2 linked regions of the Mytilus edulis genome follow. The protein of the gene in region 2 purifies or fractionates together with the protein of the main gene of each other region. This does not show direct contact. Links are inferred from orthologs where the notes say so. Each region holds a gene or a part of one and is shown on either strand. Other genes may lie near its edges.

What was found.
Region 1: the proteins of protein lin-37 homolog (region 2) and protein lin-52 homolog purify together in Homo sapiens (affinity purification with mass spectrometry; 6 studies listed by BioGRID and IntAct, counting the BioPlex papers as one, with this or other methods). This does not show direct contact. The link is inferred for Mytilus edulis from reciprocal best matches to the Homo sapiens genes LIN37 and LIN52.

What each region holds. Positions count from the first base shown.
Region 1 is NC_092346.1:42,562,044-42,578,020, reverse strand, and holds the start of protein lin-52 homolog, read right to left. Parts: upstream 6,830-15,977; 5' UTR 6,800-6,829; coding exon 6,784-6,799; intron 850-6,783; coding exon 778-849; intron 292-777; coding exon 257-291; intron 1-256. Other genes in the region: probable methylmalonate-semialdehyde/malonate-semialdehyde dehydrogenase [acylating], mitochondrial, read right to left, coding at 10,308-10,415, 11,029-11,127, 12,140-12,319, 13,109-13,290, 14,096-14,225.
Region 2 is NC_092344.1:36,879,159-36,895,318, forward strand, and holds the start of protein lin-37 homolog, read right to left. Parts: upstream 6,432-16,160; 5' UTR 6,321-6,431; coding exon 6,305-6,320; intron 1-6,304. Other genes in the region: histone deacetylase 11-like, read left to right, coding at 6,714-6,751, 10,571-10,725, 11,436-11,536, 12,506-12,535, 14,436-14,552, 15,007-15,189.

The sequences.
Region 1 (15,977 bases), on a different chromosome or scaffold from region 2:
AATACTGTACGATTTTTTTAAAAGTGCCAATTTAACAAAGACTAATAGGGAAAAATCAATGGTGGTATTACACCCAATAGCTTTAACATTGAAAAATAGAAATGAAGAACCCAATCCCCTACAGTACTATCATAGATGGGATTATAACACAGAACAATCAAATTAATCTGGCCTCTTTTGCATTTTGTATATAATTCACTCATATACATGTACACATATACAGTGAAAATGTTTTACCAACACTGTAATTACTTACACTTTTAGCAGCTGCAAATTCTGATACACCAGGAACTGAAAGAATAAAAATCAAGCATTTCATATTTCCATAAATATAAGAAGATGTTGTATGAATGCCAATAAGACAACTCTCTAGCCAAGTCACAATTTGTATGGTTAAACAATTATAGGTGAAATAAAACGATAACAAAGACAACAACACCCATCATAGGTGAAAGTAGGACCTTCAACACAGAGTCTTGGCTCTCACCAAACAGCAAGCTATAAAAGATCCCCAAAATGATTAGTGTAAAACCATTCAAACTGGAAAACCAATGGCCTAATCAATATAAAAAAGGAGAAAAGAGAAAAATCTATTAATATTCTATATCTTTAATAATATAAAATTGTCATTCTTCTAAAAACTTGTTCAGATATACCATGTTGCTGCTAAAAAAAATTCAACATCTGTTGCACAATTGCAGTTTAAGAGTACTTTCTGATGAATGTCAATGCAACCAGTTGTTCCAGTTGGCTATTTTTATAGTGCTAAAAACTTACTTTGTTCTGGCCAAAGATCGGGTGATGCTCTGTCCAACTTCTCAAAGCTCATAAGATCTGGCTCTTCTGTTTCTAAAAATAAAATGAAATACTTTGCTTTGAGTAAGAATTTAAGAAAATATTCAACTGTTCCTCTAAGTCTTTAACATGTTTAAGTGGTCAACTTCTTCAGAGATGTTGATTCATACGGATAAAAATTCATAACAAAAAATTAAATGAAAGTTATTAAAATATTGTATCTGACCTATTTCCATAATATGATATTTTACTTTTGTACGTATTTGTTACTAAACTTGCCAACTTTTGGAAGGAAGCTACATTGAATTTATTTCTTCAAAAAAACATAAGTGTAGAAAAAATTATGTAAAAGGGATGCTAAACAAATGCAGCTGTGTTTCCTAGAAAAAAAAAGAATAATTGAGTCTGGTGAAAAGAAACCATGATGAACCTGAACCGGAAAACAACATTAAGTGAAGAGTTAAGAGTAAGTTTTCTGATTCCACTTACATCAACTTTTGGGGTATTGTTATACAATTGATTGTTTTACTGCATTTAAGATGACACACAAACTAACTTCGACTTTTTGAAACAAAGTCTTTTTATCAAATTATTCTGAACTAAATAGCATTGTTATATAATTTATTAATAACTATAAAAAAAAGTCTCCTAAATTTTTTCATATTTATTTATAATGAATTACTAATATCTCATTTGAAATATTTTAGTGATCTGTATTACACGGTTACTGTGTGTACATAGGTCATAGTTAAAATAGTGTTCAGTTTTGACAGATGAGAAAAAGCCTTACTGAATATAAAAAACTCATCATAGATACCAGGACTAAATTAAGTATATACGCCAGACGCACGTTTCCTCTACAAAAGACTCATCACTGACGCTCGAAAACAAAAAAGTTTAAAAGGCCAAATAAAGTACGAAGTTGAAGAGCATTGAGGACCAAAATTCCTAAAAGTTTGCCAAATACAGCTAAGGTAATCTATGCCTGAGGTAGAAAAGCTGTAGTATTTCAAAAAATTAAAAAATTTGTAAACAGTAAATTTATAAATATAACCATATCAATAAAATTCATGTCAGCACAAAAAGTGCTGACACCTGGCCTTGTGATAGTCGGATACCCTCGGAGAAATAAATCTCCACCAGCAGTGGCATCGACCCAGTGGTTGTAAATAAACTCATCATAGATACCAGGACTAAATTTAGTATATACGCCAGACACGCATTTCGTCTACAAAAGACTCATCAGTGACGCTCGAATACAAAATAGGTTTAAAAGGCCAAATAAAGTACGAAGTTGAAGAGCATTGAGGACCAATTATATCTTTATTGATTCAAAAATAATCAACAAACTACTTTTTTCTATATTTAGAGTATCTGACATGTCTGATAAGGTCAACAAAGTTACACAAATTTGACAATAGGGACAGGTCAAGTCAGCAATAATTGTGTAATTTGATTTTCCTCGGCAGCCTGCTTTCATCTCTACATTCAGCTTCACAACAAGCATGTTATTAGTTTATGTGTTACATTTTTGTTTTCGTTCATTTTTGTACATACATAAGGCCATTAGTTTTCTTGTTTGAATTGTTTTACATTGTCTTTTCAGGGCCTTTTATAGCTGACTATGCAGTATGGGCTTTGCTCATTGTTGAAGGCTGTACGGTGACCTATAGTTGTTAATTGCTGTGTCATTTTGGTCTCTTGTGAAGAGTTATCTCATTGGCGATCTTGCCAGATCTTCTTTTTTTATAGGTTTAAATAAACATACTGCATGACTCTGAAGACACAGCAAACAATCAAAAGCAGATTTTTCAGGGGTCCTATATTATTGTGTAATTAGATGAGGGACAAATTTCCCTAAAGATAAGTAAACAGACTAACAAGGAAAACAGAGGACAGTTAAATCAGTTATCAGGTAGACCAGCTTAACAACTCTGATAAGAAGTAAATATCTAATCATCACACATCTTATCATGCTGAATTTGTGGCAATAGACCACTTTACAGTTAAAATATTATAGCAATATTGTAAAGAGGCAGATTTTTATCAATGAAAATGAAAATGCTAGGAATGTGCCTGTCCCAAGTCAGGAGCCTGTAATTCAGTAGTTGTCGTTTGTTTATGTGTTACATATTTGTTTTTGGTTCATTTTTTTTGTATAAATAAGGCCGTTAGTTTTCTCGTTTGAATTGTTTTATATTGTCTTATCGGGGCCATTTATAGCCGACTATGCGGTATGGGTTTGCTCATTGTTGAAGGCCGTACGGTGACCTATAGTTGTTAATGTCTGTGTCATTTTGGTCTTTTGTGGATAGTTGTCTCATTGGCAATCATACCACATCTTCTTTTTTTATATACAACATGTACAACTTGTATTTATATTGAAAACATCTGTATAACTTGTATTTCTTTTAATATGCAACCTATTTTTTGTTTGTGTTCTTTTTTTGATTGTTCATGAACATTAATAATGTGTTAACTGTTGATATTTATAGTCTTTTTTTCCTTCCCTGTGAATATCACTGTCACTCTAATATAATTATAATCAATATTACTATTGTCAGTTTATTGTCTTGATTTTGTATGCCATAACCATTTAATGTAAATGTGTTTGTGCTAATAAAATATTGTCTATATTGTACAATGTTGACTGTATTGTATGCACTTTTACAAACTTAAACATAATGAATAAATCTAATATGATTTAATTTTTGGTCAGACGTGTGTCACAAAAATAATCATAATAAAAGATTACATCAGTTATTCAACTTATTGTCATTGTACTTAAAGTAATTACAAACATGGTAGCTGTTTCACTTTTGGTCAGACCATATGATACAATGTATGTTACATGTTTATGAATTCGTACTACAAATGCTTTTTCAATGGAAATTGTGACGTCACTCATGTCACAATTGGTTCTTACATGTAATAGCACAAAAACCCATAATACGAGGATATATGAGAGTAAAACTGCAAAGGTTTTCAAAACTTTTGGATATCTATAAAATTTTATAGAGTATTGCCATACCATCCATATAGAAATTTACAGCCTGTAAAATCAACATGGCAAGGACATAAATAAAGAGTCCTTATTCCTTTTGCCAAAACTCAATGCAAGTATAATATCAATACTATTTTTTCCCAGACACCATCAGAATCTGGAATGGACTGCAACAACAACTAGAAGCTGCACAGCCCTTTAATCATTTACAAGGGGTTTGCAAGTTGTTCAGCTTGGATAGATGTTCAACCTTGTTTAAACATTGTTTTAAGTTGTCCGAGATTACTCTGTTGGACCCCAGCTTGTCTGGACAGTGTAATATCAGACTATATTTTAAAAAGCACCTTTTCACTTAGTCCGAGATTACTCTGTCGTCCAATGTGAACGGCCCCAGCTTGTCAGACAAAACAGTTGTTGGACGTCAGATTAATCTCGGACTACTATTCACTTTAGTTATTTGGCACTTCCCCGCATATAATTTGTTGTTCCCACATGGACTGTTCTATAAAGGAAGAAGAAGAAGTTTGGCGTGAACTGCAAAAACTGATTGGGAACACAGGAGTTTGAAATCCTATCAATAAGGGGGTAAAAATATACCAAAGTCGAGGGGTAAATTCGAGAGAAGCTCTACTGTGATAGTCGACTTTGGTATATTTTTACCCCCTTATTGATAGGATTTCAAACTCCTGTGTTGGTAACAGCTGAAGGGAAAACGGTAGTATTTAATTTTCCCAGCATTAGGTTGGCCTTTTGTGTACCCAAGGCAGGTGAAGGAAGTCAAATTAGCAGCGCTGTGATTGGATGTAAGGGTACAATATATTTTTTATTTATCTATGAATAACTGCAGTGTGTATATTTACAACATAAATTTTGAAACCTATTGAAATATTTTCTAGAGAATTATTTGAAAAGACTTGCAAAATTTCATAAATTTGGTGCAAAATGACGGTGGGCATGGATAACATAAACAAGCTCCGTTGGAAGTTGGTCATGATACTATTTGGCTTTAATTTTTAAAACACAATAATAAAGTACTAACACAACATATAACTGTTTTATCCAAGTTTTTATCTTAAAAAGTTGTAAATTTAGAAAATGTTAATATTGTCGCCTATGGCAGAATAAATAGTACCGTTTTCCCTATACTGAAGATAGCAAGGGAAATCAAAGTCACTAAGACTTCAATTCTTTTATACTATTTTGAAGCTTTTGATTAGTACATTTGATTTTTATCCCAAAGAATAGAAATTTTTCACTGAGAACAATACTGTGTTGAGAAAAGTGCTGAGTCATCACGATAGGTCAAATTGATTGGTAATGATATAAAACTTTATTCTAGGATGTCAATACTAACTATATTGTGTAAAATGCACCATATTATAGTTCTTTTGTATTTGATTTCACCTTTCGCAATGATTTTTTCAATTGGAAACACCAGAATTCAAGTCGCGACAAATATTTTTTACTGAAATGTTTGCCTTTTTTGCTGCGTAATTCCCTAAATGTATCACTTGGGTATTTCTGTAAACATTATCTATTAAAATGGGAAATTGTCTGGTTTAGTTTGTACTGTTTATGGAATTAGGCAATATTTGGTCACATTGGAAGCATTTTCAGTGTTAGAATTGTTCATCTAAGAAAAAAAGAGGCCCACTTGAGGCTAAATTTACATAGAATTTATGCTCTCCTGTGTAAAGAATTGTTCACATTCTTGATAATTCATGCAGCAAATATTTCAAAAGTGCTTCATTTTGTAGTTTCTTTCTTTTATTATATCAGACATTAATAATTTTTCATTTCCTACTGTTTGAATGGACTTTTGGTGGAAATTAATACTCCCAAGGGATATAATTCAGCTTTTTCATTGATTAATACAGGCAACAAATGCAACTTTACAGCTGAGTATTTTGCATATTTAATGTTTAAAGTGTCTAATATCTTTGTTTTCATCATCTCAAGACAGAATAGTAGATTTTATAACAAGCTCTGAAATTTTTAACCACAATATGGCATATACTAAAGCATGGAATGGAGATTAGTATGAAAAATCTTGAATTTGTGCATTTGTTGTAAATTTTTGATAAAATGAATACAAATTGAATGGAACTGTCCATTTTATCTGTTTAAATGGAACTATTTATCATTCTGTTTGAATAAGATAAGATATGATTGGATACAGGTTGTTTATTTAGGCTTTTCTGAAAGAAGTAGAAAATGAGGCAAACCAGCATGTGGGGGTGGGGACATAAAATGATCTATGTTTCTTTAAGTACTGGGAACATACAAGTATTTATTATAGCCAAGGTTTTCACAATAGCCCAGTATTGCAATCATAATGTCATAAGAATTCTTTATATCTTTATGTCACAGTATAGGGAAAACGGTAGTATTTAATTTTCCCAGCATTAGGTTGGCCTTTTGTGTACCCAAGGCAGGTGAAGGAAGTCAAATTAGCAGCGCTGTGATTGGATGTAAGGGTACAATATATTTTTTATTTATCTATGAATAACTGCAGTGTGTATATTTACAACATAAATTTTGAAACCTATTGAAATATTTTCTAGAGAATTATTTGAAAAGACTTGCAAAATTTCATAAATTTGGTGCAAAATGACGGTGGGCATGGATAACATAAACAAGCTCCGTTGGAAGTTGGTCATGATACTATTTGGCTTTAATTTTTAAAACACAATAATAAAGTACTAACACAACATATAACTGTTTTATCCAAGTTTTTATCTTAAAAAGTTGTAAATTTAGAAAATGTTAATATTGTCGCCTATGGCAGAATAAATAGTACCGTTTTCCCTGAAGACAAGCTCTTATAAGTCTAAGACTTATGTTTATGGGCGCTGTGAGAGTTTTGTGTAGAACAGATATAAAGATTTATAATGCAGTAATGATTCATATAATATTTTCCTTAAATGGATAATGTTAACATGTATTCATTATGACAAATGTATTGTTTTTGACTTTCAATTTACCCGCATTTGTTGTCATTTTTGCAGAAAATAGTAATATTAGAGTCAAAATCGGTGACGGATTTGTAAACTAACCTAGACTAAAACCAATAAAATAAAATAACTGACAACGGTCGATAAATCACATACAATCCTATCTAAAATTAAATCTATGAAATCCCTTATTATTAAATGAAATTTGTCATTACACCTTACACACAGGATTAAAATACAGCCATGTAATCTAACTTACAAGAAATTCTTTATTGGATAATGATAAAATCTGCAAATGTTGAGACAGTTCAATTGAATAAAGATAAATAAGTGATTTGTTGTATTAATTAAGTTTGTTTTTACAAATACTGAAAATTTGTTTTTTGTTAGATTCTACTTTTCAACTTTGTCATATTGTGACAGGATTGCTTCCCTTAGAACATATTTGTAGAGTACATGCTCTCCGGTTACAATATAAGTGGAGATCACTCTTGTAGTAAAATTTTGATATACAATGTAGGAATGAAAATATTTTTTTTCTTTATTTTAGCACTATTAAGAACACAAGTTTGGTGACACCATTTATTCTTTTTATTTTCTAAAACCATTTTAAAAAGCATATCTTTTCATATTTCATTTCTTTATTCTTTCTAATAGATTTATTTCATGAAAAATCCTTCTTGTAGTTTCAAAAATAGCACAGTGACTCAAAATTTTATTATATTTTGCAAAATCATATGATAAATTCAAGGTTTGGCAAAGTATAAGAAAATTTTATCTTGTGAAATCTTTAATAATGATACAACTTTAAAAATATTATGTGTGAACTACCAATGTACTGGTATATATGTCTCTGTATATGTTGTTTATTTAATTTTTGTATTTGTATTTATATTTGGTATCATTTCTTTATTAGAATTTACATCAGACAAGAGTAATGGTAATTTAAAATTATATCTACCAACGTAAGTAACTTGACACATTACTTAATTCAGGTTAGATATTGGTTCAAATTGACCCAGTTGTTCAAAAAGAGGAGATATTTGAACAATTCATCATAATTTAGGCCTTTTGTGAAAACTTCATATTTGCAGCAATACTTGAGTGTTAATTTTTCAGAGATGCTGGGTGGCATCAATGGATGCAAATTTGAAAGCCAAACATTTGTTATGAAATTGGCAATGTTCTTGCCCAAATCTTATTTCATTTCACCAATAATCACAAAAGGATCATTATTTACTAGGCACTCCAGCTCCCTCCATCAATAAAAGTGGCCACCACAAAATGTAGTGCAAAATATTTTAAGGGTATTATGTTCCTTTAAAGCTAAAATCTGGTGACTGGTATATCTTTGGTATTCTGTAAAACTTATAATGGTCATTTAAATTATCTGATCAACATCCATCCATGTATATCTAAATTGCTGTTCACTGTTCTTGTTCGTGTGATTGCAATCAGAGGTATGAAAACTTTGTTGTCTTTAGGTGTCTTCTTAAAGATTTGATTCCTTTTACATCCAAATGAGCTAGTCAGTAAGTTATCTCCTTTCCATAAAATATTGTCTTACTATTAAACTCCTGTTAACCCATCATTTAAAACAAAGAACAGTTTAATTAAACTAACTCTCAATGAAACAAGAATGTGTCCAAAGTACATGGATGCCCCATCCAAACTCATTTTCTATGTTCAGTGGACCGTGAAAATGAGGTAAAAACTCTTAATTTGGCATTAAAATTAGAAAGATCATATCATAGGGAACCTGTGTACCAAGTTTCAAGTTGATTGGACTTCATCTTCATCAAAATCTACCTTGACCAAAAACTATAATTTGAAGCGGGACAGACGAAGGAACGAATTAACGAACAAACGAACAGACGCATAGACCAGAAAACATAATGCCCATAAATGGGGCATAAAAAAGGGCTGTATTTCAGACATGATCTGAACTACATGACTTAATATACATGTATAACTAAAATAAGACTGAAATTTCAGTTTGTTTGATAGAAATTTAAGACAAGTGGAAATACCCTGGACCATTACTGCTGAAATCAAGTCATTTGGCAGGCATATGCATCCTCTCTATAATCCCATATGGTGCAATAATAAAATTACATGTATACTTCATTATCAAGTAGCACTTACAACGATTTAAGAATTAAACACAGATTTACAGTTTGTATTTCTTTTTAAATATGCACCCATGCCAAGAACCTACATTTGTATGTGCCTGTCCCAAGTCAGGAACCTTGTCAGTAGAAGTATATCATATACTAATACTTTTTTTCTATTTGGAGAATTGGGTATTGATGTCAGGTCTTAGAGTGTTAGTCATATTTATTCACATGTTGGATGGTTTATGGCTTGAAGTATTGTAGACACCTTTTAATGTTGAAGACAATTTGTTACTCTCTAAATGTCTTTTTTTTAATTGGATTGTTGTCTGATATATACATTTTGTACTTGAACATCTCCCCTTATTCATATCTGCAGATGTATAAGTGAGTCACACATAATGACACATTACAGCCTACCAATATGAAGCTTGGTGAACAAATTACCAAGAAGCACAGGTTTGTAGTTGTTTGAAATTATGTGATGAAAACTTCATATACATGCATCAACCATTGTCAATGGAAAAACATACATGTGTAGGCCAAACAGGAAGTAAAAAGTGAGATATCTGTAAATGTGTCACACAGTAAAATTCTCCAATATGATTTTTTTTTGCATTTTTGCACCCGTTCCAAGTCAGGAGCCTTAGTCTTGTCTGGTTTGTTTTTTTAGTTGATTTATATGTTTCAGAGTTTAATGTGACATCCATTTCACTAGTACTAGTACATATTGTTGTTTAAAGGGCCAGCTGAAGCCTGCCTCTGGGTGCAGGAATTTCTTGCTGTATTGTAGATCCAATGGTGGCCTTTGGCTGTTTCTGCTCTTTGGTAGGGTTGTTGTCTCTTTGACACATTCCTTATTTCCATTCTCAATTGAAGGCTATATATCCCCTTTCCAGTATACTGAGAAGTAATTTAATTTCACAGTTTTCCTTATTTCACATCAGAGAAGATCAGAGTTTGACATATTCATGGCGTTTTATATTTATGATAAAATATGGTTCATCATAGTGTATGACTTTTTTGAGTAATAAAACTATATAATTAATCAGTACTCCAGCATCTTAGAAAATGAAAAAGAGACATGATATCATTCTTTATAAGTGGTTTATTTACAAATGTGAATGTGTATAAATATTTCGTTCATCATTTTATAAAATAAATGATTTAAAAGTATCATATAAATTCCATAACAATTCTGTATAATCTGATAAATATACAAAATGCAAATGCTTATCACTTGTATAAATCTCAATAAAATACATATAAAAATGTATATATTAATAGCACTTCAAAAACAAGAAATTTTGTTCAAGTGAGCAAGTCTGAAAATACTACCATCAACTTAAATTTTCTAATTCATCAATGCCACATCTATGCATATCTGATTATAACAGTTTACCAAATTCCCAAATTAAATATTATGCAATGTTTGTTTGTTTATTTCATGATTGGCATGGCGTATGGACTAGCTTTGGACGATAAATCTGCATCATCTGATCTCCACATCTGTGTGACTGTTTTTAACTGTGTGTAAAAGTTTACTCCCTGTAAAAGATATGTTATGTGTTTTACTATAACTTTATTATACAAACAAAAGGCATTGTAAGTGAACAATGCTATAAGCAGTTACATGAAAATTATTTGGATAAAAATTAGCCAGTTTTTTTTTTCAATATAAAAATTTTGTTCTGATTTTACATTTCAATTATATGCATACAACATTTTCCTATTTTATGATTTTCTGCATTTCAAAGTATTCTTGTTCTAAGAAGAAATTTGTAAACTCTCTTGTTCTGTTTGATCTGATTAAAAAAAAATATTTAAATTTCTGTTTTGTTCACTCATCGTCGAAATATACACACAACATTCTAGATTTGGGCAAAATTGCTTTTTTCAGAGAAAGGAAATAACTATTGAAGCTTGCTAAAGATTTCTTTTTTTTTTCAAATTCAAAAACAAATGTAAATTTCAAATTTTAAAACATTTTGTGGTTTGATTCAAAAGTGAAGGTAAATGATCCTCCTACCCATAAATATTATGCAAAGATCATTACACAATACTGTATTTGTTACTATCAATATTCATGATGGTAACTGATTCCAAACCAATAAGAGTCATTAATAGTTATTGCTATAAATGAGATATGTATAATACTTACAGCTTTTCCATAGAAGTTTTGGTCACCCTTGAATGATCCTCTAGAACCAGTGAAGGAGAACATAGGTAAAGGCACTGGGATAGGTACATTCACTCCAACCTGTTTATAAAAAGATATTAAAATAAAGGACAGAGCATAAAATTACCAAGTTGAATTATATATAGGAAACCTTATGTCTTTCTTAGTCTTCTTTACTGTTGAGAAATAGATTATCAATTTTGGACAGCATACCAGTTTATTGTAATATGCTAGATAATTAGTATTGTTACAGTAAAATATACACAAAATATATAACAAAGCAATAGTGATGAATCATTTATGATAAATTATCTTAATTGCAAATATTTGTTTCTAAGTTCTTCAATATTTTCACTAAATAGGGCATCACAGCAGAGGTGTTCATTTTTTTGTTTATTTGTATCCCTGAAACAAATGATATAGGTTTTCAATGGCTTGAGCACACAATCTTCAATCTAAATCACATAACCTTTTTGAAATTATTTAAATTATTCAACTCGGGAACATATTACATCTCTTAGAGTACTGAAAATAAAACAAAACAAGTGTTAATATTTCTCTATCTTGAAACAACCCAAGAATGTTTTAATAGCAATGAAAAATACAAAACTTCTTCACTCTGAATGATGTTAAAAGGTCATCAATTGACCCAAAAAAATGTTATATAATATACTTAGTCTTTCTTTCACATCTCTGATCAGAAATTTACTCGACAATATAGAATAATTATACTTTAACTGGTTTTTTTTTACTTTACCTCACTGCTTTAACCATAGTATGATCAAAATGATATTGAAACAAGAATGTGTCCATAATAAACAGATGCCCCACTCACACTATCATTATCAATGTTGAATGGACCTTGAAATCGAGGTCAAAACTCTAATTAGGCATTAAAATCAGAAAGATCATACCATTGGGAACATGAGTACTAAGTTTCTTCAAGCTGACTTCAACTTTATCAAAAACTACCTTGACCAAAAACTTTAACATGAAGTGGGACAGACAACGAATGGATGCACTGACCTAAAACTATAATGCCCCTCTACTATTGTAGGTTGGGCATAACAATTTCATCCAATCAAATACATACCTGTCCAACATCAGTATCCATTGTAAACTTTCTGGCTGTGGCGCCATTGTTAGTAAAGATTGCTGTTCCATTTCCATAGGGATTAGCATTAATCATATTAATGGCATCATCTAAAGTTTCAACCTCCATACTGACCAACACTGGACCAAATATTTCCTCTGTGTAACATTTCATTTCAGGCTGTGAAAATACAATCATTACACATTTTTCAAAGAATTTCGAATATTAATAATTTTATGCTAATTATAACAATAGCGTTTATATTTGTTATTTTTTTTTATCATTAAGAGAACTTTTGTTTCATTTTGCAAAGAATGAGCAAAGTTGACAAATTGAAATGTCACAAGTTAGTCATAATTTCAGATATACAGAACACAGAAATGGTTTTCAACTTGTATTCCTTTGAGTAGCTAATAATTGAAAGATCTTCTAGTAAAAAGGATGCAATGCATTCTAAATATATTACAAACTCTGATAGATTTATCCATGAAAAAGAATATTTGAACATATATTTCGTGCAAGTGCTCAACAACATTGAAACCACCACCTTCCCCAAATATTGATTTATTACAAATTATCAATACGACTTTAACTTAGCATGGAAAAGAATCTTGAATGTTAAGCAATTATCACTCAAGAAGTTAAAAGAATAGAGAGCCTTCAAATTCTAAACGATTTATATTTTCGATGAAAAATGTACTGTATATAATTTATTATCATATTTTATTAGTCAGTACATGTATCTATGTTATGCATAATGCTAACCAACTTATTATTGCAGATTCATTTTTACATTTTTAACCTTTGTCTGGCAATTTCAAATCAATATTTTCTTATTTTCTGTGTATTCATTATATAGTAAAGACAATCCAAGTTTAATTTTGACTATTTTCCTCCACATCTTCCCCACTTGCTAATATGGAAAATTGAGTTAGTTTACAGAGTACCATTGTCTAGATGGTGTTTTACCTTGACATAGTGCAAAACGGTAGGTCCAACAAAGTTTCCTTGTTCATAACCTTTGACTGTAATATCTCTACCATCTAACAACAGTTGTGCTCCTTCATCAACACCACTCTGGACCAATTCACAAACTCTATTCTTAGATTCAGGTGAAATGAGTGGTCCTATATCAGCATCTGGTTCATTTCCTATATTTAGAAAAAAAACCTTGCCACACTGAATGCTATATAAATTTATAAAATCATAATGCAAATCTTTCTAAATTGATGGGGGCCTTGGTGGCCGAGTGGTCTAAGTATTTACCACTGTAATCACTAGCCAGTCAACACTGAAGTTGTGAGTTCGAACCCCACTCGTGCGGGTGCACTCAACTCAAATCTTAAAATTGACTAGGATTGTCAGTTTTCCTATCGAAGGTCGTGGTTTTCTCCAGGCACTCTGACTTCCTCCACCAATAAAAATTGGATGTCACGAAATAGCCTAAATGTGGTGCTTAAAAGTGGTGTTAAAACACCAAAAATCTATTCAAAATCAAAATTGATGTACCATGTAAGAAGAAGCTACATAAACTAGTCAAACTAAGAAAATAAAACCAAGGAGTTACCAAATAAAATCTTAAATCTGTCAATGGATGAATGCTCTGTCATAATTATACCTTAACCTATAACTTGTTAAAGTTATCGGTCAAGGCATGTTAAACACGCCTACTTTTTAAGGAAAGTCTTATTAAGCAATTACAGTCAAATTACATGAGATTTATTCTTCAAGGAACCTAAAATATTACACTTATTTCTACACAATTGTCAAAAGTAAGTAGTAGTTATCACCAGACATGAGAAAAATGGTAATACAAGCATCAGAAAAATAGTAATACAAACATGAGAAAAATTGTAATACAAGCATGAGAAAAATGGTAATACAAGCATGAGAAAAATAGTAATACAAACATGAGAAAAATGGTAATGCAAGCACGAGAAAAATGGTAATACAAACCTGCATTAACTTTGAGTTTTTTGGCCTTCTCTATAAGTTCTGGTATCCATTCCTTTGCCTCTCCAACAAAGATGGCTGTAGACAAAGCCATACATCTTTGTCCTGCTGCTCCAAAGGCTGCACCTATCAACTAAATAGCAATATGGTAAAAGTTAAAATTACAGTGCATATATGTTGTAGGTTGAAAAATGTTTCCCTGTGCTATAGATGCAGTGGCGAATCCAGAAATTTTATAAGAGGGGCCCACTAACTGCCTCAAAGAAGGCCAGCTCTTATAAAATTTATGGATCCGCCACTGCATCTATAGCACAGGAAAACATTTTTAAACCTTCCACATTTATACACTGTTATTGTCAAGCTTCAGTGATTCCCTATAATTAACCTTTTTTTTTTCCTCGAAAGGGAGGCCCCACCTAAATCAGTTTCTGAGATGTATGCTCTTATATTTTTATTATAATGGTGTATTCATTTTTAAAATAATTTTTGTTATTTGTGTGCTTCTTTTTTCCTTTCTTTTTGGCCAGTTTTTATACTGAAACTTATATTCAGTTCACTTAATTTGTTTACCACATTTATATGTACTTACCTGCCAAGGTATCTAACATATATTATGACAAGCCTCATGTTAATCTAGTTTATATTGAATCTGTATAATTTTAAGATTCAATTTTTCTTGTTTTTTTTTGTCAGTATTAGTTCAATATCTTTGCATATTTTGTTCGCAATTTGTTGAAATTTCTCTGCAACTGTGTCCTTTAATGAACATCTAGAAAGAAATTCTGCTCAAACTGTTGCTAGGAGCCATCTTAAACTTGCAGGGAGGAGAGTTGTTGCCCTATTTTGAAGGCCTCAGTGACTTTTGGAACATGAACAGGAATAAAAGCTTTGTTTATTTTAATGTGCACATATTGATTTTGTGTCAAGAATTAATTCACTATATATATATATGAATCCTATGTATTTGTTAATCCTCACAACAAATTTAGAAATTCTTTCACTTTTGAAAGAATGATTGGAATAAATCTTAATTGCAAATCCAACACATCTTATATTTGACACCAGGTGCTCCGCAGGGCGCAGCTTTATACGACCGCAGAGGTCGAACCCTGAACAGTTGGGGCAAGTATGGACAAAACATTCAAGCGTGATACAGCTCTGAATTTGGATTGTGATCAAATTTTTGACATTACATGGGTTTTTTTACACAAAACAAATGTCAAGATTTTACAAATCAATTAAAGATTTCTTCTTATTTAAATCTAAAATTAAATAGTTGACACAGCATAGGTTTCTGACACAGAATGAATGTGGTCTAATGAACTTAAAAGTTTTTTTTTGCCTTTGAGCAATTCACTATGCTGTTGAATATTAATCCTCTCAAAAAAATGTTTGAAGAAATTTTCTTTTTATTTATGAAATCTGAAATGAGAAAAATTTAACCCCCCCCCCCCCTTTTTTCACATCCCCGTTTCCCTTTTTCCAAAACTGATATCAATTCAAATTTCTAATGGAGTTTGCAACAATAACTACTCTTTTAAATACATCATAAAATATTAAAATGTAAAATAAAGTGCTTGTTATCACTGAATGGTAAAGATTGGTTGGTAGTAAAAGTGAATATACATTGTTTATTGTATAAAACAATAAAAAAAACTTCATCAGCAACATTTTATATTGGCAAATTTCCAATGAAGTTATTTACATAAAGTTATTGGCAAATAAAAATAGAAAATGACATCATAGTCATGTCTGGCAAATTTCCAACATACATTATCTAAAACATTTTAGATAAGATAAGGAAAAAAAGCTTCATCAGCAACATTTTATATTGGCAAATTTCCAATGAAGTTATTTACATAAAGTTATTGGCAAATAAAAATAG
Region 2 (16,160 bases):
GGCCCTTACCGGACCTACTCCTTTATGTAATACTGAAAAATTATTACACCAGGGTTTTCGATATCACAAACTAGTCAAAACATTTACTAAATTTTATCATCGGTATAAAGACATCATTCGTAAATATAGCTCAACATGCAGACTTCTATACGTTCAGGTATTTCACATCCAATTTTTTATGGAAATATTCTTTATAAAGCACAAAGGTGTCAGTATTCACCTCAGAAACTTACAAAACCTTTGAATAGACTTCTTAAGAAGGGATATAATTACGATACTGTTGTCAAGTCATTAAAGATTGCATATTTTGGCGTTAATATTGAGTCACTGATAAGGTCTTTGCATCGGAACTAAACACATTTATTCTAAAAACAGTTGTTGGCATGACACGGGTTATGTTCTTCTCATATCAGTCTACACCAAAAACTTTTTCAACTACTAGTCCGAAGACCAATATTCTGACATTTTTCTTATTGGTCCAAAGAAAGTTTTGCAAATACTTACTAGTCCGAATGAAATTTTACTAGTCTGAGGCATCGGACTAGTGGCTAACCGTGCAGACTGTCATATATGTTATGATGGTATGATACTAAACCCCTAACGGGAAGGATTGTGCCTGATGTTCATATGATGAAATCATAATCTTTCAGTCAGTTTAATTGAAGTCTGGAGCTGGCATGTCAGTTAACTGCTAGTAGTCTGTTGTTATTTATGTATAATTGTCATTTTGTTTATTTTCTTTGGTTACATCTTCTGACATCAGACTCGGACTTCTCTTGAACTGAATTTTAATGTGCGTATTGTTATGAGTTTACTTTTCTACATTGGTTAGAGGTATAGGGGGAGGGTTGAGATCTCACAAACATGTTTAACCCCGCCGCATTTTTGCACCTGTCCCAAGTCAGGAGCCTCTGGCCTTTGTTAGTCTTGTATTATTTTAATTTTAGTTTCATGTGTACAATTTGGAAATTAGTATGGCGTTCATTATCACTGGACTATTATATATTTGTTTAGGGGCCAGCTGAAGGACGCCTCCGGGTGCGGGAATTTCTTGCTACATTGAAGACCTATTGGTGACCCTCTGCTGTTGTTTTTTACTTGGTCGGGTTGTTGTCTCTTTGACACATTCCCCATTTCCATTCTCAATTTTATCTTGAAAAGGGTATAAGTTAAGTAATGCATATTCTTGAAAAGTGTATAGGTTAAGTAATGCATATTCTTGAAAAGTGTATACGTTAAGTAATGCATATTCTTGAAAAGTGTATAAGTTAAGTAATGCATATTCTTGAAAAGTGTATAAGTTAAGTAATGCATATTCTTGAAACGTGTGAGTTTGAATCACTTGACCAATAAAGATTTGAAATGTCAGACAGAGTATGCTGTAATAATGTCAGTTCAAATATCTGACACATTTTAATTAATAAGGGGGAAAATTTTCAAACAATGTCAGCCTGAATGTCCAAGCGCACCTTTTATTTATCAGGACAATATATAGACAATCAAGTAGATTTTTTTTTTTATTCAAATAAACTTTGGAAAACAAATGATTTGTTATGCAAATATTCAAATGATATTGCAAAGCTTTCCAGAAGTTTTGGCCATGAACCAAAGTCAGCATATTTAGATATCCGGGTCTCACTAATTAGCGACAAGAAGCGACAAGAAGAATAATTTTAGGGACAAGAAGCAACAAGAAGACTATTTAGCGACAAAAAAACATTTTTTTTTTATTAAGATTACTTATTTAAATAAATATTAAAAACTATGCATTTAATTTTTTTAATATATGGGCACAAATGAATTGATAATATTTTTTATTATTATATTGATAGATGAAGAAATCAGACATTTGTGAGGAAGAAAGGGATTGTGTATTTTTTTTTATTAAATATAAAGAATATGTTAAAGATAAATAAATGTACTGTTTTCAGCCCCTTGGTTTATTGCTACAATAACATCCAATTAACACCTTCAACTTCGTACACGTGTTAGACTATCCAATTACACGTGCCAAAATATACAATCATTGTAAATAGAGAACACCTGTTAATAAAGGGCTGCGCTTTAGCGCATGATACGCCCGTTGCTCTTTTAACTTGTCTTTTATGCTTTAAATGAATTTATATGATCAACTAGAAATATATATACAAATCAAAAGGGATGTTACATTAATATATTCACCAAAGTTTCATAAAATTCCCCTTTTTAAAGTATAAAAATTCATTACTTAAGAAAACGTAAAATCTAAAATTTATAAAAATGGAAAGGGAGCTTATGTCAATAGATATAAACAATTTATTAAAGTTGCATAAAATTTTGTGAAAGTGTTAGTTATTGTCCCAAAATTGGAAAATCCCCCCTTTTTTAAGCATAAAAATTCATAACACGGAAATGTAAAATCTGAAATTTATAAAAATTGAAAGGGAGCTTACATCAATAGATATAAACAATTCACCAAAGTTTCATGGACATTGGTGAAAGCCTTTTTGAGTTATTGTCCGAAGTGTTGAAAATCCCCCTTTTTTTTATGAATAAAGCCCCATAAATCCAAAACTTAAAATCTGAAATTTATAAAAATTGAAAGGGAGCTTACATCAATAGATATAAACAATTCACCAAAGTTTCATGGACATTGGTGAAAGCCTTTTTAAGTTATTGTCCGAAGTGTTGAAAATCCCCCTTTTTTTTATGAATAAAGCCCCATAAATCCAAAACTTAAAATCTAAAATTTATAAAAATTGAAAGGGAGCTTACATCAATAGATATAAACAATTCACCAAAGTTTCATGGACATTGGTGAAAGCCTTTTTGAGTTATTGGCCGAAGTGTTGAAAATCCCCCTTTTTTTATGAATAAAGCCCCATAAATCCAAAACTTAAAATCTGAAATTTATAAAAATTGAAAGGGAGCTTACACCAATAGATATAAACAATTCACCAAAGTTTCATGGACATTGGTGAAAGCCTTTTTGAGTTATTGGCCGAAGTGTTGAAAATCCCCCCTTTTTTATGAATAAAGCCCCATAAATCCAAAACTTAAAATCTGAAATTAAAAAAAAACGAAAGGGAGCTTACGTCAATAGATATTAACAATTCACTTAAGTTTCATGGAAATTGGTGAAAGCGTTTTTGAGTTATTGTCCGAAGTGTTGACGACGGACGGACTGACGGACGGACAGACGGACGGACAACGGTATACCATAATACGTCCCGTCTAAAAGACGACGGGCGTATAAAAACTCAAGATTGTCATTAACTTCCTTTAAAGTCATAAAAAACTTCAAATTAAAAAAAATAATGCATATGTTTTTTTATATATCTCAATGGATATTTTTCATTATAAAACTTATGTTCATATAACTTTTTTCTGAAGAAAATTCTTTAATTTGTTCATATTAAGAAGAAGTTTACTTTATTTTAATTGCTTCCTTTCCTTCCACGAAACAATTCCCCCCCGACATAATTTCTGTATGCAAAGTGACCTCCGTGTGACCCATCTAGTGAAAATCCGGTGATCGCAATACGCATGGATGTCCTTAAAATAAACTATTATCTGATTGTACATGTTATTAAACATGTTAAACACGTGATCAATATCCATGCTTTTTTTGTTGATTGTTGACAAACAGGTGACAATCATTAAACTTCAGCTTCAAAACACAAACTTTAATTACCTGCCATATATTCACAACAACACTGACCGATTGAAAAAAAATTGACGATTATATGAATATTATGCGAAAAAAATTATAGAATCGTGCACAGAAGACTAAGTTTATGATGTTTGTATGCATTGGTTCAAGAATTGGAATAACATTATTTTTCACCTGTCACTCGTTTATTATGACTTTAATCTTCAATCAACATTAAACTATGCTTGATAAATATCATTAAATGAGGCAATACACAAATTAAAATGTTGAAAACTATTTGTTTGATTTCAGTTCTTCATATTTCATAATTCAACAAATATAAATAGCAATTAGATCTATGCAGTGATCTGGAAGGTTTTTTTCACTATGGGCCCAGGGCTCCTCAAAAATAAATTCAATGGGCCATTTAAAAAAACAATGGGCCATGTTGTCAAATGAGTGGGCCATTTGAATTGACTTCTGTAAAAAAAAGTATCAGTATATTTTGGCAAAGAGGTGTTGGTCATGTTGGTACTTACCTTTATGATTTTAAATAAAATCATGGGTATTGTTCCTGTGATTTTGTAATTTCAATTTCAATGAATATACAATTCTTCTTCCAACCCCAACAATATTCAAGTTAACCTTTATTTGCACAGTGTTTTCCATTCGGCATTTAAGCCGGGTTTGCCGACCACCTTCTTTTGAAAGCCGACCACCTTTCGATTTTAGGAGGTGGTCGGCTTTTTTTTTTCAAAATCCGGATTTTTTTCGGTTTTGTACCGTTAAAATTTGAATACTTATCCCGCCTTGTTTTCATTGACAAAGATGGAGTCCAATCGTCAAATTTCAATGTATTCATTAATCAATCGGGGGAAAAAAAAGGCAGATGACGATGATGATAAAGAAAATACTAGACCAAATAAGTTAAATAAAATTGATAGTAATGTTGAAGTTGTGGAAATTGAACAAAAATTAAATCAACCAAACAACGGAAAAGACACGCAAGTGAAGACAAATATGAGCAAGACTTCAAATGACTTATAGTCACAAAGGAAGGATACTACTGTTCTGTGTGCCAAAAATACGGCACAAAAGCAAGAAACAGATCAGAAACCTGGATCGAACGGCCTTAAATCCATGCTGATGCATAAAATTGTAAATGAAAGAAGAGATAAATTTTTGAAAAAATAAAATCAAAGAATATTTGACAATTAATATGACTACTTCTATTTATGTTTGTTCAACTCCATTAAATGTGAATATTATACTCATCTTTATTTCTGTGACCCCCACGTGCACCCACAGTAAATTAAAAAAGGTTGGACATTTAAAAAAAAAACAGCCGGTTGCAAGTTATTTTTTTAAAACACCCACCTTACCTTAGTGAAAAAAGGAAAACACTGTTGCAATGTTTAAACTGGTACTGTTGCCTTGCTCATGTTCATGTTTTTTGGTTTTTTTCGTACATTAAATTTGGGTCTTCGTCAATACCATACTTATTCCAGACGTTCCGTATCAGAGGACATTTCAGGCATTTCCTCTGCACTTCTTGTATTATTATAACTTCAACACGGTGACAAGAATAACAGTATAGAGTACCATTAATTCATAGAACAAAACAACAAATCGCTGAAGTCATGTTTACAAAATGTCAGAACGAGCCAAAGACCAAAAAATGACAAGGACAGTTAAGCGTCTTTTATGGAGACAAAAACTATATTCCTAAAAAGTCTTTGGGTTCTTCAATCGAAATAATATCGAGCTAAACTAAATGAAATTATTATATGTGTTAAATCTCGTCTGTACTAGCCAAATTTCACAAATTTAAAGTTGTTTATAAAAAAAAATATATCATGAATGATGGTTAATTACGTTTTTCGGGTTATCAGTTAGACCGCATGGTTCTAGTATTATTACAATAGGAAAACACCCGAGACGTTAAATCGCATGGTTCTATTATCAAAGGGAAACACCCGAGACGTCCCAAAAATATATAGGTGCTCCTATTATTGGAGGAACATTACACAGTTATGTACACACACATGGCGGCACGGAACACGATATCTAAATGTTTCGAAACGAAGTGAAAAATATTGTGCGCCACGTGGGCGCTTACGTGTGTCACTGTATGCGCCATTTCTTGTCAATATGCGCTATAGGCACAGGGCGCACGTCCTTCCCAATCACTGTCTATGTTTCAAAAAAAATTTATTGATAGAATATAAACTTTCATGTCATGCTTGTTGCTAAAATTGTTTTTTTTTGCATATTCTTTTAATATTTATTTGGAATAAGTAATTCTCTAATTAAAAAGAAATAAATCTTGTCCTTAAATAGTCTTCTTGTCGCTAAATTATTCTTAGTGTCGCTTCTTGTTGCTAAGACCGAGATATCCAACCTGTTTGTAAATATAAAACTGTGTTATCTTTGTGCACAATATAATTCAATTATTGCATTCATAAATTGTTCTATTTTATTAAGTGTCTGTTTGAGATGCGCCGAGGTACGTGTTAAGTCATCAATGTGCTGATGGATGGATGACAAGTCCGAAACGACCAAGGCCGAACCATAATTTGAACTGACTCTTGTTTCATTGCAAATATTTGTTTTAATTATCATTCAGGTCACATATGCTTATATACCTGCTCTTGATTTGATCATTATTTTTACCTTTTACAGATGTCATTTTAACAGACTATATTGACACCTCTGAACACTTCTGTAACAAATTATGATTAGACTGTGTGCTCAAAATTTTAGTTTTCCGCCATTTTCCTTTCGTAGCCGACAGACGCTTATAACGTAAGATGTGATTGGTTTAATTAAGTTTTAACATTTTGAATAAATGACAGCATTTTTCTTACTTTTTTTTACATTGGGATAAACATATTAAATAACACACCATTAGTGAAAAGATATTTTCAGTACTTCATTCATTTTTTTATTTTATTTGAGTATTTTGGTCAATTAAAATACGTGTTATTTGCTATGTTTCCAATCAGCTTATTTCAATTAAAATTTTAAAATCTTTCTTATCCTTATTTGCATTTATTAATTTTTACTTCCGTAAACATGCAGAATGACAACAAACGAAGATAACAATATCCAGAAAGAAATGTTAGACTAGACTCTTATACAATTAAAAAAAAGAAAGACAAATACATGCTTGCTACAAGAAAAAACTACAAAGTGTTTCGAGTCTGTCCTCAGCCTAATTAATATGTCGATGTCAGAGTTGGTTGGCCCACAGACGGAAGCAATTCAACCAACTACAGAATAGTCCCCTGAATGATTCCTAAATGCTTGAAATTATAGTATTCTAATATATTAGTAATAACAAGTGCCTTGACAGTGGCAGTGACTTAAAACATGTATTTTATATAGGTACTTGTTTCAAGCAAAAATGGCCCAGTCTCTTACTTTTCTATGTTGAAGATTGAAATAAACAATTAATTTCCCCATAGGCGACAATGGTAGCCTTTTTCGAGATACAGCATTAGAAAAATGATTTTTTTAACGAAACCTTGCTAGAATCAAAGAAAAGTTATTAGGACAGTATTTTTTGGTCCCAAAAATATAGGTTCGCGTTGCTTTTCTTAGCGTATTTTGTACTTATCTCCCATGCCTATCAATTTTGCCCTTAAAAATACGTGTCATGTCCTAGCGTTAAAAAGTCATCTCAGTGCCGTTAGGGCTACAGAATAATTTTTATTTTGCCTTTTGTATAAAGCAGAGTGCACGAAGTCTTTAAAAATAAAAAATAACGGGCGCACATATCGACCAATCAGGATAAGCCATTCTTTTAATTCTGAATACCATGTTATGCTCATAAAATGGCTGCGCCCATAAAATCTAATCTAATCTAATGGGTTACAAATAAGTTCAGCTCCTATTAAGAAAAAGTCTAGTCTGGATCTGGTTAAATGAGCAGCATCTTGTTAAATCAGCACCTACAGTGTTCCAGATAGGCCGTTTTCAGAGGGCACGGCGCCCGCCCTTTTCCGAGTGGCGCCATGTGCCCTTTTTACAGTTTCCAGGGCACCCTGCCTTTTTTGAAGATCGATTGCATATTAATTTGCGTATTGATATGATACGCTAATTACTAAATTTTACCTGGGGAAAAGATTATGACTTTGTTTACCACCCCAAGCTAATCAATGGTTACAACTGGTGTCATAATCTGTTGTTTATATAGGTAATCCGTTTATCGGATGGGTCATTAATGATCATCAACATTAATTCGTTCAAATAGAATCGGTCAGTCGGCAATTATCTTTGAAGAAATGTGCATACAACAACTTGGGCACAATTTGCGATGTTTACCGTAGTTTCATGGAAGAAACGTAATGACAGAAAGTTGGAAAACCATTATAAACTCGTTGAAGACATTGTTTTACTTGTTTTCTGTAAAATAAACAGAAAATTCAGACGTATTTGTCATTGACTGCCTTCATTTTTGATACGAAAATAACAAAATCGGCCGCCATATTGTGATCATATTTACATCATATTTACGTACTGTTTATAATCCTCCAAAGAAGGAGCACACCCGAATAAAGAAAGATAACTCAATCTGATTTTTTTCCTAGCATTGAGTAACCCATTTACATATTCTAAAATGTGTCTCCATACTTCTTGCTTAAGAATATATATGTTTAGGTATTTATTTTGAGTTATGGGAAAAGTTAAAGAGGGTCTTAGTAGCAGTGTTGGTAGGGTGCCTTGGTCATCTATTCTGTATTCTTTATTTTTGATACTATTTTTCACTGTTGCTTTATATCCTAAAATTGTGAATTTACTGAGCACAGCTGTTTTGTGCTGTATTGCCATCAAGCACAGCAGGGGTAGAAAGGTGAAACTGGTAAAATGTGGTAGACCATAGAAACAGTATGAAACAGATCTCCTTTCAAAACATACTGCATATAAAGTTCAACTGTGCCAAGCAATGATAAAAAAACTTGTGTGACAAGCTGCTTGACAAGTTTTTATACGACCGCAAAATTTGAAAAAATTTTCGTCGTATATTGCTATCAGGTTGGCGTCGTCGTCGTCGTCGTCGTCGTCGTCCGAATACTTTTAGTTTTCGCACTCTAACTTTAGTAAAAGTGAATGGAAATCTATGAAATTTTAACACAAGGTTTATGACCACAAAAGGAAGGTTGGTATTGATTTTGGGAGTTTTGGTCCCAACATTTTAGGAATTAGGGGCCAAAAAGGGCCCAAATAAGCATTTTCTTGGTTTTTCGCACTATAACTTTAGTTAAAGTTAATAGAAATCTATGAAATTTTGACACAAGGTTTATGACCACAAAAGAACGGTTGGGATTGATTTTGGGAGTTTTGGTTTCAACAGTTTAGGAATTAGGGGCCAAAAAGGGACCCAAATAAGCATTTTTCTTGGTTTTCGCACCATAACGTTAGAATAGCAAGTCTTTTCAATTGCAAAGTATTGCGCAATGGCAAGAAATATCTAATTGCACAATATTGTGAAATAGCAAAATTTTTTTTAATTAGAGTTATCTTTCTTTGTCCAGAATAGTAAGCAAGAAATATCTAATTGCAAAATATTGTGCAATAGCAAGATTTTTTTTTAATTGGAGTTATCTTTCTTTGTCCAGAATCAACTTAAATCTTTGTTATATACAATATACAATGTATATTCACTTTTTACTACCAACTGATAAATTAAAATAATCTTTACCATTCAGTGATAACAAGCAGTTTTTTTACATCTTAATATTTTATGATGTATTTAAATGAGTAGTTATTGTTGCAAACTCCATTAGAAATTTTAATTGAGATTAGTTTTGGAATAAGGGAAAGGGGGATGTGATTAAAAAAATTGGGTTCAATTTTTCTCATTTGAAATTTCATAAATAAAAAAGAAAATTTCTTCAAACATTTTTTTGAGAGGATTAATATTCAACAGCATAGTGAATTGCTCTAAGAGAAAACAAAAATTTTAAGTTCATTAGAACACATTCATTCTGTGTCAGAAACCTATGATGTGTCAACTATTTAATCACAATCCAAATTTAGAGCTGAATCCAGCTTGAATGTTGTGTCCATACTTGCCCCAACCGTTCAGGGTTCAACCTCTGCGGTCGTATAAAGCTACGCCCTGCGGAGCATCTGGTTCAGCCTTAAAAGTAGAAAGATAGAGTTCTATATGGGCTAAAGATGTTGTTCTTGTATAACCTGTGATTCAACGAATAAACACAAATGTTTGATTATCATCTTTTATTAAAATATGCCCTTTTCATATTATCATATCGCGCTTTAAATGCCCTTTTTCAGGATTGGCACCCTGCCCTTTTGAAAACCTAGCTGGAACACTGAATTGATAGTCAATTTAGCATTTAGTTGGTGATTTGGTATCTGATAATAATTGATATAATATTGACAAAAAATTCTTAGTATGCATAAATGATCTTTTTTTTCCATTACCCAATGCAAGCTGTCATTTGATCATAAGAAAATTAGTAGCAATTTCAATCAAAGGGAAAACTATGAGTTTCTTTTATCACTAACACACAATAAAAAACACAATGATCATGCAAGATACTCAACTGCTTAAAACATGCATTACAATTATCCAATACCTCAAATACACATCAAGTTGAACAGAAAAAACCATGCAGAAACCCCAAAGAATGTTTTTAAGTCAATATTATCATGATTATGGACAGCACCTTCTTTATTTTAACCTTTTTGCTTAAAATACTGAACATGCTGAAAGAAAAATATTGAAAGTAAAGATATAAAATTCCTATTAAAGATTACACATAGTTATTATCATGATTATAAGACAGTAACACTGCAGTACATAATACAGTCATGAAATTAAAAAATCAAATTTAATGCTATACATTCATTTTAAGAGATTAATATGATAGAATAAATGATTGAATAAATGATTGAATTTATATTTTGCAGTTCTGCACCTCAGTCAACAGAGCTGTACATTAAGATTGCAGAAACACAATGGCCTATAATATATACACCTGAATACAACATTGGATTTCTTGGTCTAGAAAAACTTCATCCCTTTGATGCTGGGAAATGGGGAAAGGTTTATGAATTCCTAAAAGGTACTGGTAGACCTATTTTTTTCACTTTTCATTGTATAATTATCAATATTGCACCTGCTATTTTAATGTTTGATCTGAGTGACTTCTTGTGTAAAGAATGCATAAAATGCGATCAAAACCCTATTGTACATGTACTGACTTGATATTTTAAAAATCTTCCATTGTTTTTCACTACATTTGATGGTTTCAAACAAAATAGTGCAGTGAAGAGATCATTCTTTATATCTTATTCAGTCAATATCAAGCAATTTATTAATGATATGATGTAATCAGACATTCAAGTTACAACATAATGGGAATTTTAATTATTGTACTTGTCAAGAAGACTTTTCTCTATTGAATATTTTATAATTTATTGCATGGCGTATGAATCTGTTACAAAAATAGGCTCAACTCAAATTTATAATTTGCTGAGCTATTTACAATTCAATGTTTTCTTTTGAATTCATGAAATTGCAATATGAAAGCAATCTTTACCCTTTCAGTGCTAACAAGCACTTTGATTAATGTTTCTTATCCACAGTGCTAACAAGCACTTTGATTAATGTTTCTTATCCACAGTGCTAACAAGCACTTTGATTAATGTTTCTTATCCACAGTGCTAACAAGCACTTTGATTAATGTTTCTTATCTACAGTGCTAACAAGCACTTTGATTAATGTTTCTTATCCAGTTTTTTTTACTTATTGATACATAATAAATATTTTCAGAGGCTAAGTTGATTCAAGAGAAGACCATAGTAAAGCCAAAAGAAGCTACGCAAACAGATTTATTGGTTGTCCATACTGCACAATACCTCAAAGATCTGAAAGTAAGATATAATCCTAGTTCTCTTTTCATTTTTCAGCTTTAAAGGATGGTGGTTATAATATGGATCTTTTTTCATTCAATATGATTAATTCCGAGCACATTATGCAATTTGTTCATATCTGGCCAATTATATATATTATTAATTACATAACACACAAGTTATTCAGTTTATTTTCTTCTTCTCTTGTGTTAACTTATTCAAATGACAGTGTTTTTGTCAAAACAATATTCATGTTGGAGTCATATGAAAAGACTTTTCCAGTGAAACTGAATTGGTAAAAAAATAACCAAGATACTAAATTACAGTGCATGGTAATGGGACTGCTAAGAAACCATATCATGCATATGTTATATTTTGATTATTTTATGTATCATTTGTTTAGAAAACACAATTCTTTTATTTCATATTAACTTTTTTTTCATAATATGAAAAATGCTTTTAATGATGTTACATGATTAACTTAGAGTAATTAATGTTGTACATTTTCTTAGACAATATATATCATAATGTCCTAGTTACTCATCAGTACCCTCTTTGGTATGTTTTTCTAACATGTAATTAACAACTTTTGTACTTCACTTTTACTAACATTTATAGATATATTGTTTAACATGTGATGATAGATGCTGTCTCAGATTTTTAAAAGCATGCTTTGATATTTAAAACAATTTTAACATCCTTTTATATGCACTAGCTATAGTTTTTATTGTTTTATGTAAAAAAAATCTTTGAATTGTCTTTTTTTCAGTATTTTTAACCAAAAGTTATATACTCTAAGACTGAAATAATTGAATGTTTTGAAACAAAGAAAATGACTTCTCATAATAAAGTTTTTTCATCTTATGTACCAGTTTTATATATTTCAAAATATTACTAACCCAATTCCATGAATCATTGAGACAGGCTCTATTTTACTTTTTAACATACTAAATTGTTTTGCTCAAGTAGTTTTTCTGCTTCGTTATGTAGCTATCAGATTTCGTGGAGGGGATTGATGAGGTATTATATTGTACACAGTTTTTGTTGCATGCTTATGTGTCACATGTCCTTGCACCTATACAGACATCAAATTTCACAGTCTTGATTTGAATAAAAGGGATTTATATTAGCAAGGTTGAATGTTAACTTGCATAATCTATGTACCGCCATTTACAATATGTATAGCATCAATATTTTTTAAATAAAAGAAACACACAAATAAGCTATTATTGTACTCAGTCAGTATGTTAAATGCATGTTGTTAGTACCTGATTATTGTACACATTTCACTTTAACTTCCTACCATAGTAACCATACCCATTTGCATATTCTTTATAAAATGTTAGCATAGGTTGACTGTCATATTTTTTTTTAATTTCCTTCCACATATGAGCATACATTCTCTACCTACATTTTTTTTTATCAAACACAGAAAACAGTGTTATTATGTTGCCTGTTAATTTATGGTCATTTATCATTGGTTTTGAGCAATTTTGCAGGAAAATTGGAAGTTATAATATTTAGTTGATGGTAGTTATGATAAGGTGTTTGGAAAGATACATTTATGGGTCATTATTTATTCTGCATAATACACTAAGGGCTAAAAACTGAAAATGTCAAAATCTAGAATCTTTGAAATGTAGTAACACAACACAGTTACACATGATCACAGTAAATAAAAAAAAAAACAACCAAATTTGAAATTGTTTAAAGTCTATTTTTATGAGTAAATTTATTTGAAGTTTTACTATTTGAATATATTTTTATAAACCAGTATTTCACGTAAAATTAACACCAAGACTCCTTGTAATTCAATATTGTATCATGTTTGCAACCACTAAAATTTGAACAATTGAAAAGAAATAAAATGAAATCGAAATTAGAAATTTATTTAACCTTTATGCTTTATACCAATTAAATTTCTTCATGGTGTTTGATGTATTTTCATGATGACAGCTTATCTGCTAAAATTTGTTTTTTGAGGGTAAACACTTTCAAAACATCTGTATGAAAATAATAAAAGAATGAAATAAAACTGTTTGTTCAAAAACTACCATGAACAATTCTGGTTATAAGTTCTATAAATAAGAAATTCACTCTCCATTCTACTCTTGCATGTAAATGTAATTAATTTATTAGGGAAAACCATAATAAAAAAAAAGAACTGTTCCTTTATATATTTCCTGCATTCACTGTGATAGGTATACATGCATGTTAAGAAAGTCTAGCCCTATGATAAAAAGTTTTTTGTACAGTTGGTGTATTACACCCCGAAATTGACCCTGAAAGACATTTCAATGCATAGGTCATCTTTTCTTCTATGTTAAATGTTTGATGGTGTAATTATATTGCCTATTAACTTCTTTTCACATTGAAGATCTGTATAATATAATTGTTGAAAAGTAGGGGAAGAAGCATGTCTTTAATATATAGATAAATTAGATACAAGCACTGGGACCTCAAGGAATTCTAGAAAGAGACGGGGAGAATTGCACAGATAACAGATTTGAATTTTCATCTTATAGTTAAATTGATAAATGAATATATAAACATGAATATACAATTCTGAAAAAAGGGTTATCATCTTTAAATGTATTTGTCAGTTTCATAAACATTTTGGATAAAATGCATTTGTTTTAATCCACAACTACAATCAATGGTATGTATTTACTTGTATGTGTTGGTTTGTGGCTTGTTAATCATAACAGAGGTATAAAGATATTTTTTGCCTTAGCTCTTTACAGTAGTCAGAAGAGTGATGAAATTTAAGTTAGATTTATTTATTTATAAAATTTATTCAATCAACCTTCTTTGTCATTGTAAGCAACCACATTTTGAATAGAACAAAAAAGGTTATATGGAATATTAATATAAATAAAAACACTTGATAACAGAGTAAGGCATGTTTTGTTAATTTCAGTGGAGTTTAAATGTGGCTCAGATAACAGAGGTGCCACCTGTGGCTTTGTTACCTAATTTCATTGTACAACGAAAAGTCTTACGACCTTTCAGATATCACACAGGAGGTACTATATTGGTATGTATTGTTAGCTTATTTTAAAAAGAAACCATCTTTATCTTACTAAATTTACATTATTAAAATGTTATAAAAGCCTGGTGTTGAATAATCTTAATAGATATAGGAAGATGTGGTATGAGTGCATATGAGACAACTCTCCATCCAAATAAATACATTTATGAATGAACTATAGTCTCTGACAGTAATAAAAACAATTTTATTTAGTTTTCATGAAACATTTCCGAAATATCTATATATAAATACTTACTGAATCTCACTTTAATCACTGTATGGAGATACATTTTTTTTTTATAAAAAACATACATACAAAAGTTTCTCAAATTGGTTGTATGTCTGGATACAGCTCTTTATTTTAATTTTAGTTTAATTTCAACTTGCATTTATTAAATTATTAACATATGAAATTAAGTAGAAATACACGAGAAAAAATGTTTTAAAACAATTTTTACAGGCTGGCAAATTAGCAATGGAAAGAGGATGGGCCATCAATATAGGCGGAGGATTTCATCATTGCCATGCTGAGAAAGGAGGAGGGTTTTGTGCATATGCGGACATCACATTATCATTAAAGTTCCTGTTTGAGCGTGTTGAGGGTGTAGCTAAAGCTATGATTATTGACTTAGATGCACATCAGGTAGGTATCTTTTAAAGAAGAATAAAAAAAAGACTAAAAAAAAATGTGCATAATGCAAGGATGTGATGACGATAGTATAGTCGTCACTCTGTCTATCAGTTGTTTACTAACAGGGTTAACGTTTTGTTATTGGATAAGGATACAGAAAAGATGCTTGTTTTTTATATTGAAGATTTTCATATTTGTAGTGAAATTCATACCTACTTTCTCTTTAAATACCCCAACACGGTGTTTCTACATAGATTTCATACTCCAATTATGTAATCACAGACCAACTAAATAAGATTACAAAGTAATGAAAATAATATGATGCAGGGTTTCCACTGGCTGTTGCTGTTTTTTCGCATTTGGCAAAAAAAATGAAAATTTTGGCAATTAAAATTCATCATTTAGGGAAAGAAATATATAGAATGATTTGATTTCATCTATCATGTTTATTTTATTTTTGGGGTCTCTCGGACTTTACCTGAACAGAAAAATTTATTCATGTTACTTGGTGAAAAAAAATTGAAAGTTGCAAAAACTAAAACTGCTTTGGTGAAAAAGGTGGCAAAAAAATAGATATAAGAAGATGTGTTATGAGTGCCAAACCTTTATAGGTCAATGTATGGCCTTTAAAACAGAGCCTTGGCTCACCCTGAAAAGTAAGCTATAAATCCCCCCAAAATGACTAGTGTAAATTCACTGTAAAACCATTCAAACAGGAAAACCAACAGTCTTATCTAAATAAAAATTTGTAAGGGTTCCGCAGAACCCAGTGTCTTGCCTACTCTTTCTGTTAATCACAGGCGAAACAAAAATGAGATAATAAATCAATAAAATATTCCTGTTGATATTATCTTTAAATTGAAAGAAGCTTCTGTCCCAAGTTTGGTAAAAATCCAGGATAGTTTATGAATCTAATACTGTTTAAAAACTTTTAACTGCAGACTAAATGTAATGTCAACTAAATTTCCTTCTAGATACTAGCT